Mytilus edulis: one gene and its partner. The protein of the gene in region 1 purifies or fractionates together with the protein of each later gene. This does not show direct contact. Links are inferred from orthologs where the notes say so. Each region holds a gene or a part of one and is shown on either strand. Other genes may lie near its edges.

What was found.
Region 2: the proteins of striatin-interacting protein 1 homolog (region 1) and striatin-like purify together in Drosophila melanogaster (affinity purification with western blotting; 4 studies listed by BioGRID, with this or other methods). This does not show direct contact. The link is inferred for Mytilus edulis from reciprocal best matches to the Drosophila melanogaster genes Strip and Cka.

What each region holds. Positions count from the first base shown.
Region 1 is NC_092344.1:72,367,768-72,375,033, reverse strand, and holds the start of striatin-interacting protein 1 homolog, read right to left. Parts: upstream 3,115-7,266; 5' UTR 3,073-3,114; coding exon 2,986-3,072; intron 2,068-2,985; coding exon 1,998-2,067; intron 329-1,997; coding exon 254-328; intron 1-253.
Region 2 is NC_092346.1:56,179,802-56,187,726, reverse strand, and holds the start of striatin-like, read right to left. Parts: upstream 3,294-7,925; 5' UTR 3,210-3,293; coding exon 3,006-3,209; intron 1,400-3,005; coding exon 1,296-1,399; intron 422-1,295; coding exon 342-421; intron 1-341. Other genes in the region: AP-4 complex subunit sigma-1-like, read left to right, coding at 6,509-6,643.

The DNA of each region.
Region 1 (7,266 bases):
CCACGAAATCAAATGTTCAACGAAATACATATTCTAATAGGCTTAGTAAACAGAGATTGTCAAAAACACGAAATCAAATATCCATGAATATGCAAGTTTTCAGCAATCCACGAAAATAAATGAATCCACAGTAGATACAGTCATCTGTAAAACAAACTTAAAAGATCAAGGTTGTCCCTGTCACAGAAGAGTTTTTTAGACACCTTGTTTTTTATTTGACATTTTGGTAGCTCTTAAGTCTCTAATTTATTACCTTTTGCTGTGAATCCATCTTCAAAGCACTTTCTATTTAATGCAAACTCACTCTCTTCTGTGTAACTGTATAATTCTACAAAAAATGATTATTATTGTATGAATTTGCATTATATGCGTTCTCTAATTCTTTGGCAATTCAACCCCTTCTGTACCATTGTTTAAAAGATTGGTTCTGAAAAGGCCAAAAATTTCTAAGGTTATTGGACCATATATATTTTGGATAACCATGACAGCAGAAAAATTCCTTCAATCACATGGCAATGTTAGCGGTCTTTTATTCAACAAAGTTTTAAGTTAAATGAACAAAGATGCTGGTACAGATAAACAGATGGAAAGTCTGATTCTTAAATGCCCTTCAAAGTTTGTTTGAGGGGTATAATGAAAACAGAATATTGAAATCATGACTTGCTTTTAGAAGCCAGTTTGATTCAACCTCATAATAATGAGCTCAAAAACATTGCTCATAAAATATTGACTTGCAAGAAAAATAAATTGCTTCACCGAGCCCAGCTGGATACAAACGCAGAGGTCCAACCCTGAACAGTTGGGACAAAAATGGACATAATATTTGAGCTTGATACAGGTCTGAATTTGAATTGTAATTAAATATTTGACACCTAATACATGTAGGTTCCTGACACAGAATAACTGTAGTCAAAGAACTTAGAATTAATTGGTTGTATGATTTGAATTTATATGTTTTTTGCTTTTTGGCAATACACTATGCTGTTGCGAATTGACCTCCCCCAAACCCATCCCTAAAAAAAAATGTTTACATTTAAACAGATATAAAAAGTTATTGTCTGGAAACTAAAAAAATGCTTATTTGGGCCCTTTTTTTGGCCCCTAATTCCTAAACTGTTGGGACCATAACCCCCAAAATCAATCCCAACCTTTCTTTAGTGGTATTGAACCTTCTGGTAAAAAATTATAGAGATCCATTTACTGAAACTTAACTTATTGTCCGGACACTAAATGCGTCTTTAGACGATGACGACATGATAGCATTATACGATGCAAAACAATTTTGCGGTTGTATAAAAATGATTTCAATAGGGTCTGTATGCATGCAACTTTAATTTTGACAAATAGAAATGAGTAGGAGATGTGATCAGCCTGTCCAGTGATTAAAACTATAACTGTTAGCTGACAAAGTGAAACTAGAGAAGAACACAGAAAGACATATTTTGTTGATTGATTCCACCCACAACAAAGTCTAATGTATAAGTAATGAGTAAACAATTTAATAATTTATATGTTTAACTTTGTATATCTCTGAAATGTGATCAGACAAAACTAAAAAAAAATCAACACAATACTTCAAGTCTTGTTGCATCTGCCTGCTTGTCTTTTTGTATTTGTTAACCTGTCTGTTTATATTTATAAATAAATAATCATGTTGACAGTTGATTTGATTGATTCCAGTTAGGAAAACACAAGAAAGTTGATACTAATTAGTAGCTGTTCAATAAATTGTGTATTATTTCTATAGAACTCTTGCATTGTACATACATGTACCTCTAAATACAGGTTTAGTATATATTAAATAAAATTTAAGAACTTGAATCAACTAGGGGGCATGAATTTTGACAGATAATTGAAGTAATGTCAAATATATGCATTTAAAAGAAATATGATTCTTTGAGAAATTATCAGTTACAAATTTAATTATTCATGTTGTGTACAGCTTATAATATTTCTAATAGTCAATAATTATCTGTCAACACTTCTTTTATCTATACCTGACATTTCACTCTGGTAAGTGTCTGCATCATCATACAAAAATTCTATATCTGGACTATCCGTCATACTCTGGAAAACAAAAGGACTCAATTATCTAAATATTCATAAACAGTCACCTTCACTCAAAATATTTTAACTACATGGAACTGGGGGTAAAAAATTACATAAATTATTGTTTGCTTTTTCTTCATTTCTTTTATTTACAAAATACATTACAAATGTACATTGATATCATACGTATACTCTTACTTTTCTAAATTGTATACTACATGTATCTGAAATTGTCTATAATACATTTGTATATGTTCTAATAACTTGAAATCTTATAGTTCAATGTACATTGTACATCTATGAGATAATTTCTATACTTATTCTGTCATCTGTAATTATAATGTACTATGCAGTTACTGCGTCTGAGTTTGTTTAATAAAGTTGAAAGTTGAAAGCAAATTCTATGATACAATGTAGTACCTGTAGTAACCATTATGTCAATGGGGGTTACAAAACAAGGTAACTGAATTATGGTGCACATTTTGTGCCTTATATGCCCTAGAAATACAGCATTGAAGGAAATGGCAATGGACAGTTACTGATTTGAGACCAGTATCTATTTCCAATACAGATTGTAAAATAAGGATTGTGTATCAAATACAACTAATTCATTAAATTATCACAGACATGAAGCAGTGCCAGTAAATTATTTCACAAAACCTGGTAAGACAGTAGTAACAAAAAAGAAGATATTAAAAATCGAATATTCAATTATCAGTGATAGTTATGAAAAGTGAAAAGTAACATATAACTGAGAACCTGTATCATTTAAATTTTACATTACAAAGTGTAAATTTAGTCTTTAGTTTAAAATTAGTCACTGTATAAATCTCTGTAAAGACTAAAGTTGGGATGATTTTGACAGCGGAAGTAACATTGCATTTGCTGATTGGTTTTATTCATAGTTTGTCTTAAAACTTATATTTATAGATGTACCTCTGACAGCGAATCTTCTCTTTGCCTCCGCAAAAGGTCCCTTAATTTGGGCAACCCCTCGCCCTTTCGAGGCCCAGCATCCATCATTATTATTATTATTTAGAAGGGAGACAATCATGTATACAAAACAGAGTTACTTACCCTTGGAAGTAAGACAACTCGCCCCATTAGCAATTCGCCCCACTTTTTCACCCTTAATGCCAATATTTAACGTCTTCGGTTAAATTAGTCCCCTGTGTATTTAAGAGTTATGTTATAATCAATCAGAGTGAAATAAATTGTTATAATAATAATTTCCTCGACATGGACCCTTTAATTTGTGGCCTGAGTTTATTTCTTATGAAATAAGAATTTTGCAATCTGGCAGTTAATTAACTGGGTGTAAATAATACTAGAGACGCTATAATACATTATCTATTGCAAGTCTCCGATGATACCCACCCCAGTACATCCGCGTTAAAATTTTACCAAAATCTGTTGCATAAACACATGTTGAATAATTGAATGAAGATATAAAAAAAAATACATTTGAAAACAGAAACTTGAGGGAAAAAATTAATTTTGACAAAAAAGAAAAAAAGAGATTTTGCCAAGATGATTTGTTCCCTTCTAAATCTTAAAATCATCTTTTACCTTAATGTCCGTCATTAATGCGGTTCAAGTCACTGGCTGGGGAGAGAGGGTTCAACAACCGCATGATACGTACATATATGAATTTATCTTATGTAAAGGGAGTTCGCTTCTCAGTTTCAAAATAATTAGCTTTTCATAACACTAGTTTAACATGACAGGGAATTAATAAAGGAATCAAAACTAAAGAGCCAACAAAAAAAAATAGGTCAATGGCTTGTTTTCGATATATTAGTAAGTTATTGATATTTTGGCGGGGAAATATTCTCTTTTGACTTTTCATAGCTTTATGAAGTTTAAGTTCTCAAAAACTATTGAAAAATAATTAAAATTTTATAAGACTTTTATAGATGGCTTATCATTATACATGTAAAAGATTTATAAAAAGAAAACTGTTTTTTTTTAATTCATTCAAATGGATAAAACTAGAGTTCCGAAAATCTGACAAAAATCCCAAAACATGACCAGGCGAATAATGTTAAATTATTTTTGAAATGTATTATGTAATATTCTGTTTTGTTTTTATGTATACCACCTATACCCCATTGGGGTATAATTAACAGTGTAATATTTTCAATTAATTTTATATAGGACAACCACTTTATTTGCAGCCGGGGTCGCCGCATTAAAAATATATGCGTTATTCTTGGCAAAACACTCTTAATCTGAATGATTGTTTTTAATATTAAAGGAAATAGAATAGAATGTGAAGATGGCGTTAATTAAGCTACTGGGAGTTACACTAGATTACAGATTAAATCTTGATAAACTAATATCTCAGATTTTTAAGAATCCCTCTCGTCCACTTAATGTTCTTAAAGTATTGGTAGGTATTTGGAAATACTTGGTTCGTGTGGTTGTCTAACACTTTATTATTCATTTATTTTGTCTAATCTCAATTATTAATACTTGGTTCGTGTGTTTGTCTAACAATTTATTATTAATTTATTTTGTCTAATCTCAATTATTGCCCAGTCATCTGGCATTTTCATTAAAAAAAAACTCAGTTAATGATAAGAAAAAATCCAAGAGAGAGCCTTGATATTTGTTGATTAGGATTATGATAGCTCTGACATAAAAAAGAAAAGATCTTTTACATAAGACAAATCATCAGAAGAAAACGATCAATACCTATAGAAACTTTTAAAATTATACACTAAATGACAGACTATCATATTTACATGATTTGGTTATTAATATGAAAACCACACTTTGATACAGTTGAACAGACTCAGGTAAGAACAAGAAGCTATGACATCAATTCCTTTCGCTATAAGTAGCTGCAAAAATTTTGGAATGAACTACCAAAGAGTTTTAGAGAAGAAACCATTTTAATTAATTTTCGTAAATAATTGTTACCGGGAATGGTAGTTCATGACTATGTAATGCCTGCAAATAATTAATGCTTAATTTATAGGGATTTTCTGCTCAATGTGCTAAAACTGCTTACTAGTATGTATTTGAAGTGCTTAATATGCTTCTAATATTGATTGAATACGATACTTTTAATACTTCTGCAAAGTATAACATACATTAACGTCTTCGTGTCATTTTATTGTATATGTCCTTAAATGCAATGATTTTGTTTGGTTGTGTTGCTCTTTTGTATGCTGTATGCTTGGTTTGTTTTAAACGGGCATGTTTTTTTAATGTTTTGTTTGTAATAAGACGATATGAAAGCTCAATAGAGCTTATGTTTTCTGTATACTGAATATTCGTCTATATAAATATTAAAGCTTTTGTACTAACATGAGCAACACGACGTTTTCCACATGTGGAGCAGGATTTGATTACCCATCCGGAGCACATGACATCACCCTTTAATACTTCTGCAAAGTATAACATACATTAACGTCTTCGTGTCATTTATTGTATATGTCCTTAAATGCAATGATTTTGTTTGGTTGTGTTGCTCTTTTGTATGCTGTATGCTTGGTTTGTTTTAAACGGGCATGTTTTTTAATGTTTTGTTTGTAATAAGACGATATGAAAGCTCAATATAGAGCTTATGTTTTCTGTATACTGATTATTCGTCTATATAAATATTAAAGCTTTTGTACTAACATGAGCAACACGACGTTTGCCACATGTGGAGCAGGATTTGATTACCCATCCGGAGCACATGAGATCCCCCCAGTTTTTGGTGGGGTTCGTGTTGCTTAGTCTAGTTTTCTACGTTGTGTTTTGAGAACTATTGTTTGTCTGTTGGTCCTTTTCTTCTTTATGGTGTTGTCAGTCTATTTTCGACTTATGCGTTTGAATGTCCCTCTGGAATGTTCCGCCTTTCCTTCATACATACATCAAACAGTCTACTAAATTCTATAAAAGTCAGGGCCCTTTAGAATTTTTTTCAAAACGAATGACGTCCATGACATTAGTTCTATATTCACTTATGTTGTAATATTATAATCTTAAGTAGCCTACGTCCTAATTGGATTGTAAACATTTCGTTATAGAGAGATGCAATTGAACTTTATAAAGTGTTTATGTCCCAGAAAAACGGAAGAGTGTCCACTTAATCATGAGTACCAATAATTATATATATATTAAGTCACTGACATCATTTTAATACTTTAAATTTGGAAACGTATTTAACGAGTAAGTATCTTTTGTTGAAGTTAATTGTATATTTAGTTTTCAGTTTTCGAATTACTCAAACATAATTTTATTTTTATAACTTAAATGATTTTGTGAAGAATAATTTATATTTTAAAGTTTTAGTCTTTTCAGATATTCAGGAATTGGGTATCAATGCTGATCAACTTATTTTGACCTTTTTAACCATTTCGATTTGAATATCACTGATGAGTCATGTGTAGACAAAATGCGCATCTGCATGGTCCATGTATAAAATTTTAACCCTTGTATCTATGATGAGCTATTAATCGCACTTTTTCATCTATATTGTCAAAAAAATAATATATTACGTATATACAACAATTTAATAACATCGCAATATATCTGTCATACAAGTGAGAGGTTTAGCGCTATAAAACCAGGTTCAATCCACCATTTTCTACATTTGAAAATACCTGTACCAAGTCAGAAATATGACAGTTGTTGTCCATTCGTTTGATGTGTTTTGTCGTTTGATTTTTCTATTTGATTAGGGACTTTCCGTTTTGATGTTTCCTCGGAGTTCAGTATTTTTGTGATTTTACCTTCTGATACTGCATTGGCAATTGTCTGTTTTCCCATAAATGCCTTTGAGTTTTTGTCACGGCTGTCGTGTTGCTGTCTCTGTCACATGAAAGGCATCGCCTTTTATTGATATTCATAACTTTTTTTATGTTGTTTGGTTGTTTTCTATCTGACACACACTCCGTACCTTATGTTATCAACAACTCAGTTGGTACTGAGACTAGTTTCGGCAGAAGAAATTGAACAATCATATACATAATTTGTTAAGGAGAGAGACCATCAATTTGCAAAACAAATTGACGCAGTTAAGTATAAAACAACTATTCCCCTTTTATTGGTTGTTTTGTGTTCAGTATTGATCTGATGAATTGAACCTATTTCAACTATTTTTACTGATTGTATATAATGTTGTTGAGTTACCTCGATTGGCGTCTGTCATTTCAGAATCGCCCAAAGGACTAAGGGTTATCTCATTATTCGGACACCAAAATGAAACTAACGTGATTTCAT
Region 2 (7,925 bases), on another chromosome or scaffold:
GAATGAATATCTTAGCTGGTTTTTATACATTTCATGTACCAAGCTATCCTTTAACTTATCCTTTCTTGTATAAAAGATTGCTTTTCGTTGTATAAGTATATTTTTTCAGATAGTTACAAGAATCATTATAAATTCTGAGGGAAAAAAAAATTCTAAAAAGAAGAAAGAGAGGCTATTTATTGGTTAGACACTCGTTAGAACTCTGATTATACTTTTGTAAATCTTGCTATTTATAAAGTTTAATAATACATTTCTAAATGTAATATTCCATTCTCACTAAAAAAAATTATATTCATGTAACTGGCAAAATTGAATTAATGTATTATCATGATAATATTTACCATCTTTCTTTTCTAATGCAGGGGGCTTCAAGTCTTCCTGATTGATTTCTGTTCCATATTTTAACTTGTGGTATTTTGACCTGAAATTATAGAATTAAATATCCTTGAGAATCCCCCAAGAATTATAAATTCAATGACTTTAACATTTTTTTTTTTTTTTTGTAATGACTAAATTTTTGACTAGTTGGAAAAAATATTCAGAACTTGACTGAATAATTGTCAATATAATTGACTTTGCCAGTTGAATTTTAGAATGATAAGTCTTGCTTTTCACAACAGACAGAACAACAAAATAAAGTTTCTGGACACAATGGTTTATCTTGACACCATGTTTGTGTCATATTGGTTATACTATGGATTGATGAATATTTCAGTGTTTTCACCATGGCCTTTTAGCACCATGGTAATGTGATGTTAATTTGCTATATCACTAGAATGTGATTCTATCTAGTATCTGAAGTGGTTTTTTTTACAGATTGTGTTATGGGTGTCATGCTATAATTTCTAGAAACAAGATGGTATTTCTTAATTACCTGTTTACCAGGAGGATATAAAATTTTCCCCAGAGAAAACAGTGTGTTTGTGAGAAACCTTTAAAAGCAAGGATGACAATTCCTGGGAGCCCATGGTCCCTAAACTTTGAGATGGACTCATTTTTGTTTACATGTTTTCTAGATTAATTAAATTTTAGCCACCAAAAATAACATATTGGCTGTTCACCCACTTAAAAGTTTAATGTTTTCAATTCTGCTTTCCAGAATTGGTATTAATTTGATTGTTATTTCAATACAGGGGGTATTCATGGTATTGTAAAATGATAATCTTAGGCTGAGCCAATATCATGACACAATTTTATGTTTTTATTTTGACCATCATCACATTTCTCTGTATTGAACAACAATGTTTTGCACTACCATTAATTTTAACAACTGACACTATAGATTGTCAACTTACCTTTCCTGTTTCAGGGCATATTCCAGCATTTTTATTCTTCTGACAAGATCTTGTTTTAAATTTTCTTGTCCTTTTCTTTCTCCTTGTAAAAATGCAATTCTGGCCTAAAAAATAAATATATGTTCATAAACATGATAAAGAGAAGTTTTATTGTCAAGAGTAATCTGATGTTGGCCCTAGACTGTGTTGATTACACAACACTTGAAATAGATTTCACCATTCGAAGTATAAATTCAATTCAATTGAACTATACCTCCTCTGAGAATCATAGTCTGGTCACCCTAAAACACATAAGCGCCCATTAACGTTTGCCCTCTTTCACTTTCGCACCCAAAGTCTGTTCCAACCCTACACTTTAGCTGTTTAGCACCCTTTTCATTGGTTTTGTGTTTAATATTATTGTACATGTTGTATCAAGTTTTGGTTATTGTATTGCTATAAATGTTTTTTTCATTTTCAGTATAGTGAGAATCTGACGGGTTTTTTTTTGTTGATTAAATCTTAATCATGTTTTGGTAAGATTATTGCTATTATCGTCCTTTCCTCTGCCTATATCACCCTGCTCTGCTGCTCCGTAATTCTTGTATCAAGACTCCAAAACGAGACCTGGCATTATCAGCGACGTCACAATGTGAGAGGAGACATTATCAGGGACGTCACAATGTGAGAGGAGACATTATGAAGCTTCCTTTTTTCAAGCGTAAAACTGTCTTAGGGAGAAAGAAACGACAAGTAATAGAACGATAAAAAGATAATCGGGTTTTCTTCGTATAATTATCGTAAAATATCAGCAGCTTTTTTTTGTGTTTCGTTTGCTACACTCACTCGCCAAAAAGGTTCACATTGTGGCTCGCAGCTGATATTTTACGATATCAATGAGTAGAAAACCCGATAATCTATACATATATTTGTATAACATGTTTTTATCAATTCCAAGCGGACTAGTTTATCAAAAAAACAAAACTTTGTTACAACAATCAGTGAGAATTATTATATCATTGAACAATTATATTGCTCACAAAACAAGTCATCAACTTTTAAATATTTCCATGTGGTTTCATAAATTTCAAGAATATATACCATATAATATCTGAATACGTTAAACTTAAAAGCCCTTAATTGAATTATTTAAAGTAGGGCGAACGGACCAGGGCAACCATGAAATCTGGGCGAACAGATCAGATACCGTGAAAATCACCCTTGTGATGTACTGAAATTTCCAGCGCCCTGAGTCATATCCCAACCTGGGACCTTCAGCATGGTAGCCATCTGTCTTAGCTACTAAACCACAAACCCACACAATGTATTGCAATGGGGAAATAGACATTAGACACAAGCTCTTTATAAACAACTGAAAGGGTGTTGTGAGAGCTTTGTGTTGTTTACACACTTGACAATGTTAAGAGAAAACCATTCAATATGCTTTTGTTTACTTATCCCTCAGGGGAGTATTATCTTGAGAAATCCCATTGGTGGTACAATGCTTTCTACTAAAGACCTCTACGGTACTGTCACAGCGAATAAGTGAATCAGATGTCAAATTTGGCCGCCATATTGATTTCTGCAAAATGGCGTCCTGGGATATATGATTTTAACACGGATGTTTGTAGAAGATCTGTTAAATAACAACCATAACTTAGCCATTATATGATAGTTTAAAGATTAAAGATTTATTAAATTGCATTATGTGCTTTTTTGCTAAGTCCTCACTTGGAGTTCTGCACGTTCAACTTCCCATTGCGATCGCTCCATCTCGAAACGGGACCATTCTGTCTGCAAGAAATGCAATATTCCAGGCATAGAATACTGTGGCCGTTGAATAGATTCATCTTGCTGTTTAGTCATCATCCCTATTGCTCCGGAAACAGGGCCCAGAGACCCTCCGTTTTGAGGTCCTTCACTATCGTTAATCATTATTTCAGAGGATCGCCATTTTCTTCATTTTTATTATGATAGGTGTCGCTTCAGATGTCAGTGACGCAAAATTTTCCTTCGGAATGCGTCTGGACTTTTCTTTCCTATCAAAGGAAATCTGGTAGATTGAAAAAATTCTTTACCCCACCCGAAAAAGCTTCTGCAGACCAAATTCTCATTCATAACAGATCATAACAGTACTTTTTAACCGGATTTTTGTGACAAAAATGTCGGTTATTGATTTGAGGATGCTCGGCGGGCGGCCGGGCGGTCGGGCGGTCGGGCAGTCGGGCGGCCGGGTGGTCGGGCGGGCGGCAATCAAATGTTGTCCGTGCATTAACTCATGAACCGTTCAGCCAAAGCTTTTAAAATTTTAATATGTTGTTACTGACATCTAAATGAAGGTCAAGTTCAATAATGGCGATTTTGACTTTTACGGTTCAGGAGTTATGGTTCTTGAAAGATTGAAAAATGGAGTTTTCAGTCCTGTCCGTGCATTTACGCATGAACTGTTCTACCAAAGCTTCCCAAATTTAAATATGTTGTTACTGATGACAAAATGGAGGTCAAGTTAAATAATGACGATTTTGACTTTTACCGTTCAGGAGTTATGGTTCTTGAAAGATTGAAAAATGGAGTTTCCATTTGTGTCCGTGCATTTATGCATGAACTGTTCTACCAAAGCTTCCCAAATTTTAATATGTTGTAACTGATGACAAAATAGAAGTCAAGTTAAATAATGACGATTTTGACCTTTACCGTTCAGGAGTTATGGTTCTTGAAAGATTGAAAAATGGTGTTTCCAGTTGTGTCCGTGCATTTTCTCATGAACCATTCAACCAAAGCTTTTGAAATTTTTATATGTTGTTACTGATGACAAAATAGAGGTCAAGTTCAATAATGACGATTCTGACTTTTACCGTTCAGGCGTTATGGTTCTTGAAAGATTGTAAAATGGCGTTTCCATTCACGTTGTTGCATTTACTCATGAACCATTCAATCTAAGCTTTTCAAATTTTAATATGTTGATACTGATGACAAAATGGAGGTCAAATTTGATATTGACGATTTTCACTTTCACCACTCATCAGTAATGGTTCTTGTGATATTGCCAGGACACAAATAAATATTAATAAATCCGGTTTGCTGTCGTTGTGACAGCCTCTTGTTATTGAATACACACGTATGCTGTGAAATAAGATACAAAATTAGATTTTTTTGTATTTAATCAACCCTGAACAGCAGGGGCCAGAGTATAAGTTATAAAATCAATAATTATCAAATGATTCATGAATGAAAATATTATACAGACATCAAAATTGGTAAATAGTGTACAATAATTATCAATGATTCATGAATGAAAATATTATACAGAGACATAAAAATTTGTAAATATTGTTACTTATCATAAGTTACATAAATGAAACAATAGTATAAACTTGAAAAAAGAATGAAAGAGTGCAAAAGGCTTCTTATTTCAAGAATTTAGCTATATTATGCATGATGATGGAATCACTTGATGCAGACAAGGATTTAAAGATCTTACTATACATAACCATTTATTGTCAATGCTTTAGTGCTAATAAAGTTATCTTATCTATACAAATCCTTGGTATAGATCACATCTCCCTTTTAAAACTAATTGGGGGGGAATCATAAAGTGACAATTTTTAAGTTCTTTTTAAAGGCTTTAATTAGTCGCGCTGGAATGTTTGGAAAAGATGTCATTAAACAATACTCTTTTAAAATGTGACTATATAATAACCATTGTGATATAGGATATGGATAGGAATTGACAAATGTGAATTATAGATTCCTGTAGTCATATTTTCAGTCATATGGGTTCAGTTTTTAACTCTTATTCTTAATTTCTGATTTCATTCATGCTTGGATATACTGTCATATATATTTTGTAAGAGAGAAAGATTCCTATTGATTTGAAGGTCATCAGGTCAAAGGTCAAGGTCTTGTTTACTACAAATTAATAGACAGATTTCTGCTGACAAGTGGTTTCCTCATCCTTAATCAAATACTACACATGGAATTGCAACCTTACTTGCACATATAATGGGCACATATCATGAGAGGAAGATATTAAATTTATTATTTTTTATGTTGCTGTGTCTAAGGTCAAGGTCAAAATTGTTTAAATAGGCATATGCATTTGTGAAAAGTGTTTTGAGGAGGCTCAATCAAATATAACTAAAGCAATTGCAATCATAATTGGAATCAAATTACAACTACCTCATGCAAAGTTGACCTTAGATGACTGGATATATTGTTTATAATACATGTAGTCCTTTTAAGTCATACAGCTCTTTACATGATAAGGTACATCCTTGGTATTCACAATTTCGGGTATGAGTGTCCCTGATAAAGATAAATCCAGTAAAGCACTTGAAATGTACAAAATTAATAAAGTTTGATTTTCATTCTATAAATATGGTCACAGATAATAAGAGGAAAATCACTGTTAATTTCAAAGTTACTTGATTAGAAAAAAGTTATTTTGTGAATGACAGTACACATATTTGTTTAGGAGCCAGCTGAAGCCTGCCTGCAGGTGCAGGATTTTCTTGCTGCGATAAAGACCCATTGGTGGCCTTGTGGTTTTTTTCTGCTCTTTGGTCGGGTTGTTGTCTCTTTGATACACAATCCTGGTTTCTCAACTTTATTAATAAATAATCTAAAGACATGAAATATTATTTTAATAGGTAAGAAATTTAACTTTTCATGATCTAAAGGAGTGGGTTATATCATTATTTCTATCCCAAAATGATAATCTCACATCATTAGCTAAATTTTAATTGTTTATGACATTGATAGCAAATGACAACAAACTGATGTATGCTTTATAAAACAGTATTAAGTTAACCAAGAATGCATTGATTCTAAAGATATGCCATCTTAGCCTTAAATGTGAGCGTGAGAATGGGCAAAAAAAAACCATCCAGAAAACAAATTTATGGAGCTATTGATAATGTCTGATCTTGTCACTCTTTATTGACTTTAACGTTTAGAATTTACCTTTGAAGTTTGTTATTTTTGTTATACTTTTATACATGAATTTTCTTTTTGATATGTTGTTGTCTGTCTGTATGCCTTTAAAAAATGGTTTTTGGTTGTTCCCTTGATGTCTGAAAACCCTTCTTTTAGCGCTTACGCCTTCACTTAAGAGTATGTTTTAGTTGTCTGTCTGTTGTATACATAAAACATTTCTAAAAATGTTAAGTATAAAGTTTATTTCTAAATAATTATGGTGAAATTTTAATTTAGTTTTATTATTTTTAGGTGCAATTATGATAAAGTTCATTTTCCTTTTCAACAAAATTGGAAAACCAAGAATTGTTAGATTTTATGACAATCCTCTAGAATCCCAAAGAATAACAGTTCAAAAAGAGGTTTCTAATGTTTGCTTAGCGCATTCAAAACAGGTACAGTACCGTTTTGCTTCAATACATTAATAAAGTTTCAAAATGAATGCTATATCACATGTATATACAAGTTTAAATAGATAAAGAAAGATGTGGTATGAGTGCCAATGAGACAACTCTCCATCCAAATAACAATTTATAAAAGTAAATCATTATGTCTGCATTTGAGTCCTTGTTTAAATAAACACTGTCTCCCATAAAAAAATGTTTGATCTTGTTAACACATCTTGCTGATATTTATGGAAAATAAATTAGTCACAATGCTTGTTTTAATAGAAAAAAATCTTGATTGTTTTGTGTTGAACCAGGTTTCAATTGAAGTAATGTGTACATAGTTTGGTTAAAGGGACACTAGCTACGAGATATATAAAAAATCTAAAGTTTGATTTTTTTCTGTTCAATCAATAATAAAAGTGAAATAGTGAAATAACAATTTGCTTTTTGCAGCCAAAAAGGTTCCATTTTGTCAAATTACGCTAAGAAACATTGATAATTAGTTATTCACTTGCAAGTGAATGATTTGACCTCTTTAAATCCTTATTCATGTGAACTTCAATTTAACCCCTAGCTAGATGCATGCATTGTACGTGTACTTGTTATTTAAAGAAAAAGAATGTCAACAATGAAAGTGAAACTACGGTTAATCATTTGATTACATAAAATCATTCTCATACGATTAAAAACAATGAGAAACATCAATTTTTATTCTATAAAATCAAATCAAACAGACCTATAAAAATCTAATTGCACGTACTGGTTTAATCTATTCATATCTTTATTTATGTTTACATCGCTTGTATGTTCATCTGAGGTCAAATCGATATTTAATTAGATGGCGTCTGGACTAAAATACACACGAAACGAACCTATATATTATCTACCACATGCTCTGAAAACTGTTTATTTTAGACTTTTGATAGTTTGTATAAATGTTTTACATTGTTATAAATCAAATATGAGAATTTGACTCAAATCGGTGACCATGAATTTGACAGCTAGTGCCCCCTTAAGCTAAATCTTTATTTCAGTAAATTTATAAAAACCCAAAAAGGATACTGGATGTTTTACAGGCATCAGACTACATTTACTCAATGTACTTTTTCAAGGACAATAAAAAATGTGTATCTTAAAAAAGTAAATAAAAGGATATGACATCAAAAGGATTTTTTGAGACATAAGAAATCTAGGAGCCATTTTCAAAATGAATTATTTCTGTAATAATGATGAAAAGGAAATACAAAAAGGCAAGATATTAATACACTTAAACATCAAAATATCCATT